Linked DNA regions of Schizosaccharomyces pombe. The protein of the gene in region 1 binds, or shares a complex with, the protein of each later gene. Each region holds a gene or a part of one and is shown in the gene's direction. Other genes may lie near its edges.

Region 1 (3,596 bases):
ATCATCAAAGCAATTCTTAGATTCCTCTGGATTTTCCTTTTGCCATTGCTGTACTTTTTTTACCATACCCGGTGTGCTACTGCCACCAGCTACGTCCCCCATTAGCAAACAATAAGTAGCAGGCAATTGAAATGGAACAACATCTGACCATTTTTTAGAAACTATTTTTCTCAGTTCGGTGGAAAAATTTATGTTCTTTATTTGTTCGTCGTATGGGACCAGCAGTTGTTCAATTAATTTAGGATCAAACCTTCTATAAATACAACTTCCCCAAGTGGCAGCGCCAACATCAAACCCACTTCCTACTTTTCCTTGTGCAGAACAGTGGGCAATTTGTGCCAGATTGTGAACTATGACTTTGGTTGAATCATCAATTTTGAGAGATTTGTCACCAGTGTCATCTGTTAGTCGTCTAAGACTTAAAAATAATGAACCTATAAGACTTGTAATCATAGCTGCCGAGCTTCCTAAACCAGTCTTATGTACTTGACCTAAAGTACAGTTTAAGAAATTGAATTTTGGATAGCTTGTTTGATCAGGCTTTAACTGTGGTTGGTGATAATAGGCATTATCTACCTGCAATGTAACTTGAAGATCTTGCCAGCATAAAGGTTGTCGCCCCGTGGAAAAAAAGTAGTTAATTACATAAAAAAGTGCCAGTTGAACGAAGGGGTTTGGATTTTTTTCCAATTCACAGTTTTCATATATCTGATGAACTCGAATAGGAGATACAGTCCAATCAATATTATAAAGCCATTCAGCGTTAATGAATTGAGGGCTTTTCACACGAACCGTTCCACATTTATCGTCCAAAGTCGTTGTGGAAGCGTACCCTTTGGCAGTTAAACCAATAACAAGCCCGCTGTATTGAGGATCTAAAACAATGTATCCACCAGCTATAAGTACTTTACCAGGAGCAGAGCAGGTCCTGCCAAAGACGCTAGTTAGAGATGGACAAAACAGAAAAAAAGAAAAAAGACTGGTTTCAACTTACACTTTCATGTTGATATATTTTTGTCTTGAATATGGATATCTCTATAATGTTTTGTGTGTCGTAACTTTTTTATAGGACCTGAGAAGGAAATAGAAAGGAATGTATGACTTCTATCTTACGTGATAATCTGTTGAATTTAGAGAAATGATATATCAGTCAAAGTAAAAGAGAGGATTATCTTCGAACAGTAGCTCCTGAAAAGTGTTATTCTAAAAATCAAAAAAAATAAAAAAAGAACTGATCAAAGAGTATCAAATGTTATACAGAAACTAAAGTTGCTTTGAGTAAATCAACTTTCTAAATCATTATCGTATCGTTCGTTTCGCAAGATTTGCTTGTGGAGAAAATAGTATAGAAAATTAACGTTAATTAAGGAGAGTTCGAAATCAGGAATACAGAGATTACATTAACGCATATTCATATTAGAGTATATAATTGATTGCATATAAAATAATATCTTTTACGAAAATGGAACATTAAGGTGGAAAGAAAAAAGCAAATCTTGCTATTGAAGTTTTCTGAATACCAGCGAGTTATTGATAGTATTATAACTACAATGAGAAGCCATGTAACTGAATTGGAACACGTATATTCATTCGGGTTCAACAGGAATCTTTCTATTGCCTTGAACATTCAAGGTCAGAAACACAATCCTTGATGGATAAATCATATAAAAATATATAATCAACTGTATTAACTTACATAGTCTAATATAGCGTAATGGAAGGTTGACAATAAATAACATATAACGAAATACGTTGTGCAGAATTTGCTAATTCATTTTGAATACCATCGTACTTACTTAAAAAGATACTCTGTAGAATATAGTGTTTTGTCATTCTTACTAACGAACGGTATTTAATGACTTTTGGAAGACATGTTTAATGCCAAACACTTTTTCAATTTAGGATTGGGCTTTCAATGGCTACAAAAGAGAGGTATTGGATCGTTAAAACGGCCTTATAACTTTCCAAAGCCAGTACCAGGTCCAAAGCACAAAGATGTGTTATCATTATTCGAAAAAAAGTGCCGTTCAGTATTGGATGAGCAATCTGAGCGATTCAAAATGTTTCATCGCTCGCAGCCAAATCGAGTAAGACCAGGCGCGGTTTTACTGGTTGAAAGCTACTCAAAATACCCATCAAAAGATTCAGTCAACAGATTTGCTGGTTATCTACTGCGAATTCGGCATCGTGGACCAAAAAGTTCAATCCTGTTACGAAACGTGGTAATGGGTGTTGGAGTCGAATATTTGTTACCAATTTACTCTCCACAAATTAAACGTATTGTTGTCCTCAAAGAAAATGGTCTATCTAAAAGACCTAGAAGAGCATACTTAAGTTACTTGCGTCAACCTCGCTTTCGTCTTCCACCTGTTGAATCACTGGTGCGAAAATACATTGAACAAAATCAACATAAACCTTGACACAATCATTGCAACTTCTGCAAGTAAATTTCTTTTTTTTTGCGAATCTTTCATGATTTTATTCAAGAAGCGCTGTATGATTTATAGTTCGTTTACACTCTATGTTTCCCTATCTACTTGTCTTTTTCTACAGGCTATTGCATTTAGAACTGCATTATAAGAGGCGTTGGTTGGTTTTCTGGAACAGATTTAGAGATTTGGATGTATATTTCGGCTTTAGCCTGTTTGTCAAAACACGTATTATCGATTCCATGAAACGGCAATGAATCACCTCCTTTGAGCCTTTTACCCCCTTCTCATTCTTTGAATCGACAAGTCACATGTCATTGCCATTAATTTTCCCAGATGAATTTGTGAGGCACTATGAATCAAAACCTCTACTTTTTTCTTATAAATTTGAGCTGTATGTAGGCTTGCCTCTTCATAATTCTGCGCTTTGATTATTTTGAATAATATTTGAAATTATTCATGTAAAAAAGTATAAAACTTGAGCTCAACAATATGTTATAAGCTAAAGAAGCAAAGTATCATAAATATAAAAATTTTGTTAGCATGTCGAATGTAGCCGGCTTGTTACAGTCCAATGAAAATTAGTTTTAGTTAGAAATTTTAAACTTTCAGAAAACGAAAAGATGTATAGCTAAAGCCAAATATCAACTGTAAATCTACTAACTCTTCTCTTCTTACGACATTTTGTTTTTCGCCTGAATTGTTTTCTTAATACCGTGGTAGAACGTAAAACATTAGCTAGCAAAAAACACTAATGTTTATTTAATTAGATCTCAAATACAATATACAAAGACTATGAAGGTGAAAATACTGAGTAAGCGAATATTTTGGAAATAAAATTGTTTTCTAACCACTAGGATACCATGCAATTGCTAACTGGACGTGGGATACCCCAAAAGACGACGTTTGTGGTATATGTCGTGTTCCATTCGATGGATGCTGCCCTCAATGCACAAGTCCTGGAGACAATTGCCCCATAGGTAAGAATATGTTTGTATTTATTTCCTGAATATGCTCTGCGGAGGCTTACTTGTATACTTTGCATCCTAAGGGGGTATCAGCATGAAAATTTGTTGCGCAATTGGGTTGGTTGTGTTCAAATAATCTTTAATCTAATATTCATACTTTGTTTTTGTTAAAAAGAGTTTATCATGGGCATCAGCTTTC
Region 2 (4,171 bases), on another chromosome or scaffold:
TGCCGTTACCTCGCGTGCCTTGGATGAAATGATTCATCCACTTCGTGAGCTCGTCTCAGAGTTTTCTGTTCAAGCTGCTATGCGTATAGAGGATTTTATAAGTCCTTCAGAAGAGAATATTGTTGATTCCTCTGAGGATATAATCAATCAAATTGCTTCGCAGTACATGGATGATCGCGCTTTCGAGACGGACGAAGAAGAATCTACTGAATTCCAGATTACCACTAAAGACGCTATGAAGGCGATCGAGCTTTTGCTAAACTATGAAGCTCAACAACCCGATGGAAATCCTGCAATCACGATTAGTCTATTAAATTATCAGAAGCTCCTTGAGGCAAGGGGTGGTAACGTGAATCTTTCTCGTTTGAGAAGCACCTAATGTCTGTATTCGTTGTGCATATTTGACTTTTTTGTTTTTGGTTTGTATTTTAGTAGTTTTAATTTTCTTTTTGTTGAGTTTGGATCCCTTACCTAATGAGTAATTTGCTTTTATTCCTTCATTTTAACTTGTTGCTCTATTTTTAATACCCGATTGCAACTGATGAGCTTATTTGATTTTTCTTTGTTTTTATTTTAATTTTTTTAAAAAAACCTTTTCGAAGTTTCTTAAACGCAAAATCGCTATACGAGCTAATGAAATTGAATATTATACATTTTGTAATTCATGTCTCGCAATCAAGTGCTTTTAATATTGATACTATTTATCTTTAAAAATAAAAACCGGCTAAATGTAAGAAATTTTTTTTTTTTATTGAGGCATATTTGTTTTTTTAAGGTCGAGATTAGATTGTAAATAGTTGAACCGTAGGGGTTAGAGCTTCAAAAAATGATAAATTATTACTGTGAAACCCGAATTTAATCCATTTACGCATGATTGATTTTATAAAAATGTACTTCTCTTTTGCTAACTGCTTCGTACTGTAAATAAGCTTACTTTACAGTTAAGCATTACAAAGGTATATGATGTAATGATATAAGAAATAATCAATAACGAACTTTGATGTTATACGTAACATGAAATAACGATTTCTCTTCGAGACCTAGACTAACATGGCGATGTTCATAACTATGGCGAGTAAGCACATTTCTATTTCTACAAATAACTCAAATCCTTTGCTTGAACAATCAAGCGTGTTATAGCTTATTGGAATTTTTTAAGACTTTTTACAGCAAGAATCAGTAAAATCAGAGAAATTCGAATTGGCAAGTCTTCAAGGTTGTGTCCATTCGGAATATTTATTAAAGTATGTCAACAACTAGTTCTTCGTCGACGTTTTCTACGAGAACAGCGTCTTTATCCCAATCATATACAAATTCATTAAAGAAGGAAGCTGCTCAAAAGACGTTAGAAAACTGGGAATATCAGGCTATTCACGCTTTGCAGAACAATTCTTCTTTTCCCGCGATACGTAGATCAATGCGCAAGATTTTAGCAGATCCTTCATAATTTCCTAATCCCATTTTTTGTTTTTTTTATAATCATGATGTGAGCAAGTTCTTGCTACAGGGGACAAAAGAGTTGCGCTTGGCATTCTTACGTTCGATTGTCCATACAATAATGTTTAGCTCGATAGAGGATCCTTCTAATGGTTTATAAACGTACATCAGAAGATTTTTTTAAGACAGTCTTAACATTCCAAATACCAATACTGAGGCACTAAACAGTTGAACGTTTTGTTATTCTTCAAGGACAAGAATTCCTTGACAAGAAATGAGCTAAGTATATTATTTGAAATAGCTAAAATAGTCACTGTTTTATTTCTATTCACGCATTGTTGTCATTGAAATGATGATGCTGAATCAAATAATGTGTTGAGCATAAAACGCACGTTAAATTCAGTATCTATGAAAATAATCTTTTTTGCCTAATGCTTAAGATAATTTTTTTTTTTTTTTTTACAAACTAATAAACAAACAAATAAATAATTATAGCTAATGTTCAGTTATTGTCCGGCTTCTTCCCGGAACTTAGTTAGGATAAGTGGCAGCAACACATACAGAATCCAAGTATCCTTTAACCCCCTTCTCATACAAAAAATAGCAGGCCTATTATCGTTACTATTGTTACCATTTTCCCATAAAAAAAGAAATATAATACTTAAATTTGATTATTTTGAATATTTCTGAGTAACTTTAAAGAACGACTTTTGCATGATAATAAAAACACGTTGTTTTATGACTTTTTGAAACCCTCACAACATAAAAACTTATATAATATGGCTTTACAACAATACAATAAATTTCCTTTCTTTTTTTCTGGTATTTTAGGACCTACGAGGTTGAATGGTTTACAAATGCCGCCTATCCAAACGATGGTTCGTTGGGGACACCAGTATGCACCCAGAAGCATCAGAAACCAAAAAGCTCAGAAAGGAAGAGTCCCTATACCCATAGGAGGTTCACTACGTGGTACTCAACTTGAATGGGGAGAATATGGTATGCGATTAAAAGATCGAAGTATAAGATTTCATGCCAAGCAACTCGAAACTGCCGAACAGATTCTCAAGCGTATATTAAAACCTATCAAGGCTGCTCGGGTATACACACGTTTTTGTTGCAATGTGCCAGTATGCGTAAAAGGAAATGAAACTCGTATGGGCAAAGGCAAAGGAGCTTTTGAATACTGGGCTGCACGGATACCAATCGGTCGTGTACTTTTTGAAATTGGTGGTGATGGAATGCGTAAAGAGTTAGCTGAGCATGCATTGAAGCAAGCCGCTTTTCACCTTCCAGGCAAGTATGAGATTATCGTCAAGCAAACCCCCAAAAGATTGGGTACCACACTGATTCATGAAACCCCCATTACCACCGAGACAAGCAAAATGAACTATCAGGAAATTACCAGTACTACTACAGCTGTTTAAGGGAAAAGTTAAGCTGAATTTATCTATTTTTAACCCATTCAATAATTACTTTTCTGTCATACTTCTCACTTACTTAGTTTGTGAACTTAATGCTGCATCTTTGTACAGACATTCATGAGCTTCTTTTCAATCGTTGTAGTTATTCTATGTTTTAGTGAATGAAATTTGCCAGAAATGCCTTAAAACATTGTACATTTTGCGCTATGTTTCATTATCTATTTTCGAAATGGGAACTTTCATCCCCAATGAGAGAGTTGCTTAATTTTTGTTGGCGAAATATGAACCACTTTTGATTCACTTTGATTACGGCTCGGCAATTTCGTTAAAACATCAAATTTCTTTGGTCCTGAAAAGTTGGTAACGGTAATGAGTGTTTTTGGCGAAAATCTTATTTGCTGCTCTCTGCTCCGTTGGGGACTTTTTTTCGGGATGTAAAAAACGGCACGTTGTATATGTGCGAAATCATGAAGTGAATCAAAAAGTACACTTTAAATAATATGAAACTGATTTTACTATGGAATTACGAATGAAATTATTCAAATCAACTCCACTAAAATATTTACAACGTTTACAAAAAAAATCACTATACCTTCTAGAACCTAGCTTAGCAATCCACTGTTGAGTGGATCAGTAACTTAATCATTACTACCATAGATCTGATTAAATCTCATCAAGATCGATCGGGATCTGTAAATCAATTTTCTACCATAAATTACCGCGGTTGCCTACGAGTTGGTAGTGACTGTTTCTTTCAGTAAATAAATAGGGTAGGGTCGAATTTTTTGAAATTCATACATACGTGCATCCTTGCTCTTAGTTGTCTCCTCTACAGTGATAAAAGATTTAGCTTAAAAAATTCAAAGCTAACAGGTTTCGGGACAATAAGTTGTTGAATTGTATAATTTATATATTTATACTTAATTCATTTTAGAAAATTCGCTTTTCCTTTTCCTTTTTTTGCATTTTAAAGTCATCAACATGTCTGTGTCCGAAGCTAATGGTACTGAGACCATCAAGCCTCCTATGAATGGAAACCCTTATGGTCCCAACCCATCTGATTTTCTTTCACGTGTCAATAACTTTTCCATTATTGAGTCTACTCTTCGTGAAGGTGAGCAATTCGCAAACGCTTTTTTCGACACCGAGAAGAAAATTCAAATTGCTAAGGCATTGGACAACTTTGGTGTCGATTACATTGAATTGACTTCTCCCGTGGCTTCTGAGCAGTCCCGCCAAGATTGCGAAGCTATTTGCAAATTGGGCTTAAAGTGTAAAATTTTAACTCATATTCGCTGTCATATGGATGA
Region 3 (3,456 bases), on another chromosome or scaffold:
GTGTAAATATACTTATTTCTATTTTCGAATCCTAGCTCTGAACAAGTTCTTGTTCTTTGTGATAATTCCAACGTGTATTTAAAGCAGTATATAAAGGTCAAACACCATCAAATGAACAGTTTATCAAATCTCATGGAACCATTTATTAAACATTATACTTTTTGCTTAAATAAATATTCAAAGTGTTTTTTTTTTTTTTTTTTTTTTTTTTTTAATGCATATGGTAGGAATAGGCATTATTTATTAAATGGATTCGCAAATGGTTAATATTGTGCTAGGAGATATGTTGATTTCAATTGCAATATCTTTTACCTATATTTAAATGGCACTATGTAGAAAGCTGACAAGAGAATATTTTAACAAGCAATCCCGAATCATCAAAAATAAATTAAAATAATTTTAAAAAATAAAAAAAATAAATCGCAGAAGCACAAAGCATAATACTATTGATAAGTTCAATGTAATTTAATTTGGTTCATTACTATTTAAAACTAAATCCCCATCTTATAGTAATATAGAAATAAACAGAAAGTATATACAATTTCTCTACAGGATGAAAGAAAAAAAAACCCCCAGAAAATAAATGAGGGAAAAAAATAGGATATCAAATATTGATCGAGGAAATCACAAGCATTTCCTTCAGTGTAAGAAAAGCAAAATAGGGAAAATCGTAATTGTACATTGAAAGCATACATTTTTACAAAATTGTAAAATTTCTTTATTTAAATCGTTTCCAAAATGAACCGGAAATGTTATAAGCAAAAATATACTAAATAAATGAATTTAAAACTATTTCGGTACACTAAATAATCTCTTATAAATTTATTAAATTTAAATACATAATCTACTTAATACTAATCGTCTCAACGGAGGACAACGTGGCCGAGTGGTTTTAAGGCGTTCGCCTGCTATTCTGTAGCCCAGCGGATTCCCTTTGGGAGCGCAGGTTCGAATCCTGCCGTTGTCGGCATGATTTTTTTTATTTGTAAAATGAATATCGAAGAGCCTTAGAGAAATATGTTATAGGAATTTATCGAGGCAAATAATGAAATTCTAGTAAGAGAATAACCTGATGGTTAAAGCTTGTTTATTGATCTTCTTGCAGATTTTTTATTGTTTTCATGAGATGGATAATACTTTAAATGATTTATGTTCTATCTAAAGTAAAACTTGGCGAAATTTTAAGAAAACACCCATAAAGGTGTAACTATTAACTAAGAAGAGTTCGCAAGTCAGTGATTTATTTTTTTCAATTGTCCCGAGTGACTTAAGACACCGACTAGTACAATTTGTCAAATTTATTGTAAATCTATTTTTCTTTAACAAAAAGTGATTGCAAGCGCTTCTCGATCCTCAATGGATCAGTCGCTAACTGTGTGGAATAAGTACATTTCGCAAGTAAAAAAAATGGTAATTCTGACGTATCGAATGAAGGACATAACGTTAAACATAATTGAATACTAATTCTAAAATCTATATATGTTCTCTTTATTTAAACCGTACTACTAGATTGTTCCTCAATATCCCAAATAACACCTAATGGTTCTTTACCATTTACAACAATCAAGTGATTGTCGAAGAAACATTGCAAGTTGAGAAAAATGAATGAAGTAGAAATATTCTAATGTGCTAATGATTTATTGTAAAAATAAATCATATTATTTTATTTCTTTGACTTTCTTACATAGTCGAACACAGACAAATACAATTTTCGATTAACATTTCTAGAGTCTCACTTGATAGATTGTGCTTTACTTTATTTCATAAGTATTCCTATAGTACTCAAGCGTGCTTGGTATTATTATTGTAAACTTAATGACATTCTTGTTAGAACGACACCCCATTTGAACTTAGCAATAGTTTATAATTATGAAAAAAACAAAAACAAAAATTTTATTTTGATTCCCAAATTGTAAACAGACGCTTGAAACCCTTACATGTACCTGTGTCTGCTACCCATCTGTACATGAGTTGTATAGTAACGTCCAGGTTGTCCCATAACCAAACTCCTTGAACTTTGAAAGCGGCTCTTTATAGAGTCATTTTTTATTTCCTATAGTACTTGAAATAATATTATTCTCTAAAACTTTTCACTCAAAGAGCAGGACGTATTTGCTCCTTATATATGCGAAGGCGTTACTATTGACCTTTTTCATCGCCTTTGATCCACTTTTGGTTAAAGATTTTATCCTCCTTGCAAAGTTTTTTGTTTACTGTCTAAGCAATGCCATTTATCGAGTCAATGGCCCCTTTATCGCGCGCAATTACTCGCGGTATCTCTCAATTCTCATGCTACTCTAACACATTGGTTTTAAGAAGTTCCCGTAACTCTTCTTCATCATTAGTTAAACGAAGTTATGTATCCTCTCGTGTTTCACCCAAAAAGCCACAGCATAATTCGGATGCCACTTCTTCAGCTCAAAAAGTCGCTAATAAAACGCACACTAGTTCTGTCCTTCCAGGTACTATATTAAAGGGACTGTGTATAAAGGCGGGTGGCGTCGACCCTGTAGCTCGTGAAGATCATGAATATCCAGAATGGTTATGGTCTCTTCTGGATGAGCCAGCTCCCAATTCTAAGACTGCCCGAAGTCATGCTCGTAAAAGTGCCATTCGAGCGGCTAACTTTCTTACTAAAAAATAATTACCTTTTAGAATGTTTGAAACTCTTAATTTTCCATCTCCTCTCTATCCTTATGAGCATTTGATCCATTCTTTTTGTTTACTTTTTTTGAGGCATATGACATTCGCTACTTTACCATTTCCCAGAATCCAAAAATCATTTTAAAATAAAAATATATTAAATAACCTTATATCAGTGATATACATTTGTAGCATAAAAAAAATTACTACTACATGTCCTTCTTTAAGAGAAGCATATTCAAACCTCAACCTGCCAACCTTAGAGAAACCGGTATTGCCCAAACTGTGTATCGTTTATGGAATTTGGCTGACGAAAATGTATTCTAGAATTGTATTGAACGATGTTGAGAAAAAAGTTGTTAATCTTTTGAAAAAGACTGCTGATTTTATTGAATCTAAATCCAGCAGCAGTTCGTCATTGGAAGTTAGATTGGCAGGAGGATGGGTTCGCGATAAACTTCTTGGGCTTTCTAGTGACGATTTAGACGTTACGTTGAATAAAGTTACCGGTGTTGACTTTGCAAATTCAATATTTGAGTATGTTCACTCTCTCGACTCTGACTCAGTTATTCCATATAAAGACGCACTTGGCAAGCTAACTGTCAATCCCGATCAAAGCAAGCATTTAGAAACTGCTACCTTATCCCTATTTGACCTTGATATTGATTTTGTAGGACTTCGTGCAGAATCATATGATGATAAAAGTCGAATTCCTAGCGTTACCCCAGGAACTGTTGAAACAGATGCATTGAGAAGAGACTTCACGGTTAACACCCTATTCTTTAACATACGAACAGAAAAAATAGAGGACAT
Region 4 (3,518 bases), on another chromosome or scaffold:
TTACGGGAATACTCAGCTCAAAAAATAACAAAATAATGCGACGGAAGGAGAGCACAGTGTGAGATCTGATAGCACAAACTGGTAAAAGTCGGTTTATCAATTTGACCTGTACTACCCATCGCATGATCTTAAATTACGCCTTTTCATGCACAAAAATGGAAAATCTTTCAAGAAAGGAAAATTTACTCTAACAGACGATATTGTCTCACTATCCCATGTTTGTATTATGTGCAGACTAATTAACTTAACGTTCTTTTTAAACTACGTTATACTTGCTTATAGGAGACAACGTGCTTAACTGAAATGTTAACAGTTGCATACTTAGACTTATCTTGGATAGTGAGTTTGGCCCCTTTACCCTATATGCCAAAAGATGACCCAGGGGGTTAATATTAAGGCCTAAAAGGTAGGAGGAAGCAAGAAATGGTAAAATGGCACGTGCCAAGCCAAACAAGAAGAGATGATAGACACGCAGCTAAAGAACATAGCAAGCTTAAAGAACAAATAACAAAGCATTTTGGTTGGGAAATTGATCAGTTGAAGAAAGTTATTAAAGTTAATGATTATTATAGATTTACTAGTAAATACATAAAAACCAAGGAAAAGATAAGAAAATAAAATAAAATATAAATAATAATTAACGATAATTATATGTATATATAAGAGGATAATAATTTTATATATACACAGCAAATCCATCCTATATTTAACATAGTATTCCTCTATTAAGTGCGAATATTCTTTTACTTAATTCAGCCTTTGCTTATTTAATGCGAGTTGTCTCAGCCCTTAGTACAATGTCAAATCCTCTTTAAAAGATAGTTATTAAACCTTTTGTTATTCTAATGACAACTGTAACATATCCTTGACTTGTTTACTATCCCTGCTGTAATTTCCAACTCAATTTTTATTCTACATATATAAAGCATCAGTTAAAGATATTTTCGTTGCTTCTCTCCATCATTTTCACAACCAGGAAAAATGTTTATTTTAAAATTTCCCATACTATTGACCATGTAGAACCGTAATAACAATCGTAAACATTGCACTTAATGAGCTTTAAATACTCTCTCAATTCTTTCATTCAGTCTCCATATCCGAGGGATGTAGCCTTCTCCAGTCTATTCTATATCCGTCTTTGGGTGCGGCTATACTTGCGTTGTATAGATTTTCTCCGTATGCATCGTGATATGTCTCAATTTCGCGGATGAGATACGGACTTGGGATTTCGGGCAGATCGTCATACAATGTCACTAGCTTCCGCAATTCATGCGATTTGTTCATTTGCATTCTTTATTTGGCTAACCCTTGTAAAATTGGGAAAACACATTTTATATTCTCTTTGGACCCATAAACACTTAAAGTGACTTGTAACTCATCCATCCTAGTCTTGGTACAGCAAATGAATTAGGTTTGCTTACAACTTGAGGATCGTCTTATACTTTCAGTATTGCCAATAATTTACAGTTACAATGATACTTAAAGCTTGCGTTTGTTTAGAGCCGAATATATATATATATATACACGAAAGGCTTTTTAGAACCACCTCGTCATAAATGTTTCTTTACTAGGCTCGCTAATTTCCATCTGTGTTTTTTTTTCACGCTAGCAAACTATGCTATTGCAATTAGTTCATTCTTAACGTCCTAATTCATCTAGTACATGTCATTTTAACTAAAAGAATTTTTCCTGAAAGAAAATTGGTTCTTTCATTTGAATATCATTCTTTCCAAAAAAAATGTAGAAATACAAATAAGATTATAAATTGGCAAAGACGCGATTGGACTTTAATTAAATACCCATCTACAGCCAATAATTAAAAAACAATAATAATTGTAATAAAAAAAAAGAATTTTTCAAGAGTTGTTCATCACTTCATATTTTTTCTTCGAATGTTAATAGAACAGCAACTTCTATTTATAAGATTACTTATAGTTTGTTAATTATTCCTCTCTGTTAAATTGGCAGACATCAGGAGAAGAGACGCAGCAGACTCAATTTGTTATACTTTCCTTATTAACATTTTTTTATTTTTTATTTTATTTTATTTTTATTCAAAAATTCTTTCTAATTTTTTTATTCTTACTGTTCGTCTTTCGTTCTTAAGTGCCGTCATGCATGTTTCTCAATTAGAATTTCAAATCTAAATGCTTTTTTTCAAAACAAGTAATTCATTGATGAGCCTTTTATCTTTACTAATAGTTCTATAGTCTACCTAAAACAAAAAAATAACCTATTGAAAAGCCTCGATTGTACACAACCAAATTTAATAAAAATTGGATTGCAAAAAGGCTTTCTCATTACTCAAAACAATATCTTTGAATTGCAAACTTTCAATTTTACATTTCTGACTGCAAGTTATCCATCAAGTTAAAAGAGCTCGCCCACAAACCCTGGTGTAACTACAAAACCTTTAACTTACCGCTTGCACTGTACGTATATCCAGAATGGCTAAAAAGAATAAAGCTCGGTAAGACATACATGCTTAATTTAATGCGCATTTTTAACATTTATTTTTCAGTTTGCTTGTAAAATTATTGTCCACCGCTGGCACTGGATTTTTCTACGTTCGTTCACGTCCAAAAGCTGCTCCTAAGCTTGCTTTTATAAAATATGATCCCAAGTAAGTTATTATGGATTTTCTAAAGCCTCATTTAAGAAGCTAATGAATGAACCCATAGAATTCACAAAAGAGTACTTTTCGAAGAATCCAAAATGAAATAAAAACTTCTTCCATTTCAATGATAGTCTGAAAATGAAATGCTAAATTATGACCGATCAATCTACCTTTTTTCTTCAAAAACTTTATGGATGTGCATTAATTATGTATTAGCTTCCCAACCTACATCTTATACGACATAATTCTAAACAGCTGCGTGAACATAAAGACCCTTATATTATTCTGTCATATCTATAATTCCTATTTTTATTATTATTATTTAAGAGAAGGACTGAGATGTCAAATTTTCAAAGTAATAAGAATGTTCCTTTCACCTGTACCAATTGCTAGCCGAATTAGAACTATAGTAGTAACATCGTTTGTGTTTACTACTCTTGTAAGCACTGTAGCTCAGATCATTCGATTCTAAAATTCTCAAGCAATATTTTTAATACAAAATGGTTGTACTATTTAGAAATTATGCAAAACATGGCAAAGCATTGAATTGCTAAAACCAATCGTCGTTTAATGTCTTCGTAACATTTAATTATTTGTTTTCTATTAGCTTATACGATGCAATTATTTTTATTCCCTCGTTCCAATTCTTAGTGTAAATTTTTGTCTACCTACATTTTCTATGTGGAGCAAACTACTACACTTTTCAACGCTTTGATCACGATGCCAAAGAAAGCTGCATTGGACGAGCTTAAATGGAAGGAAGTCAAGCTTCCTGACCACCTAGACGACTTCGATGGGTTTATGGGCTTGGAAGAGATTGAAGGTGTGGATATCAAATATCAGCCAAAAGGTGCTATGAAAGAAGTAATTTATGAGGTATAATTGTTTATTATCTAATTTA

What was found.
Region 2: img1 (region 1) and mrpl16 share a complex: the UniProt entries of both Schizosaccharomyces pombe proteins name them as parts of the mitochondrial large ribosomal subunit.
Region 3: img1 (region 1) and mrpl37 share a complex: the UniProt entries of both Schizosaccharomyces pombe proteins name them as parts of the mitochondrial large ribosomal subunit.
Region 4: img1 (region 1) and mrpl39 share a complex: the UniProt entries of both Schizosaccharomyces pombe proteins name them as parts of the mitochondrial large ribosomal subunit.

The regions. Positions count from the first base shown.
Region 1 is NC_003424.3:1,639,884-1,643,479, forward strand, and holds img1 (mitochondrial 54S ribosomal protein bL19m), read left to right. Parts: upstream 1-1,811; 5' UTR 1,812-1,871; coding exon 1,872-2,420; 3' UTR 2,421-3,049; downstream 3,050-3,596. Other genes in the region: erg8 (phosphomevalonate kinase), read right to left, coding at 1-928, 995-1,002; anaphase-promoting complex ubiquitin -protein ligase E3 subunit Apc11, read left to right, coding at 3,225-3,243, 3,287-3,409. UniProt on the Schizosaccharomyces pombe protein: Component of the mitochondrial ribosome (mitoribosome), a dedicated translation machinery responsible for the synthesis of mitochondrial genome-encoded proteins, including at least some of the essential transmembrane subunits of the mitochondrial respiratory chain.
Region 2 is NC_003423.3:3,506,979-3,511,149, reverse strand, and holds mrpl16 (mitochondrial 54S ribosomal protein uL16m), read left to right. Parts: upstream 1-2,016; 5' UTR 2,017-2,216; coding exon 2,217-2,864; 3' UTR 2,865-3,627; downstream 3,628-4,171. Other genes in the region: ARS-binding protein Cbp1, read left to right, coding at 1-379; protein tam12, read left to right, coding at 1,247-1,447; lys4 (homocitrate synthase), read left to right, coding at 3,843-4,171. UniProt on the Schizosaccharomyces pombe protein: Component of the mitochondrial ribosome (mitoribosome), a dedicated translation machinery responsible for the synthesis of mitochondrial genome-encoded proteins, including at least some of the essential transmembrane subunits of the mitochondrial respiratory chain.
Region 3 is NC_003421.2:1,252,321-1,255,776, forward strand, and holds mrpl37 (mitochondrial 54S ribosomal protein mL54), read left to right. Parts: upstream 1-1,997; 5' UTR 1,998-2,224; coding exon 2,225-2,644; 3' UTR 2,645-2,906; downstream 2,907-3,456. Other genes in the region: cca2 (ATP/CTP tRNA nucleotidyltransferase), read left to right, coding at 2,960-3,456. UniProt on the Schizosaccharomyces pombe protein: Component of the mitochondrial ribosome (mitoribosome), a dedicated translation machinery responsible for the synthesis of mitochondrial genome-encoded proteins, including at least some of the essential transmembrane subunits of the mitochondrial respiratory chain.
Region 4 is NC_003423.3:2,700,179-2,703,696, reverse strand, and holds mrpl39 (mitochondrial ribosomal protein subunit bL33m), read left to right. Parts: upstream 1-1,945; 5' UTR 1,946-2,447; coding exon 2,448-2,470; exon of another isoform or gene 2,471-2,521; coding exon 2,522-2,623; exon of another isoform or gene 2,624-2,654; intron 2,655-2,681; coding exon 2,682-2,724; 3' UTR 2,725-2,962; downstream 2,963-3,518. Other genes in the region: ATP-dependent RNA helicase Mak5, read left to right, coding at 3,338-3,493. UniProt on the Schizosaccharomyces pombe protein: Component of the mitochondrial ribosome (mitoribosome), a dedicated translation machinery responsible for the synthesis of mitochondrial genome-encoded proteins, including at least some of the essential transmembrane subunits of the mitochondrial respiratory chain.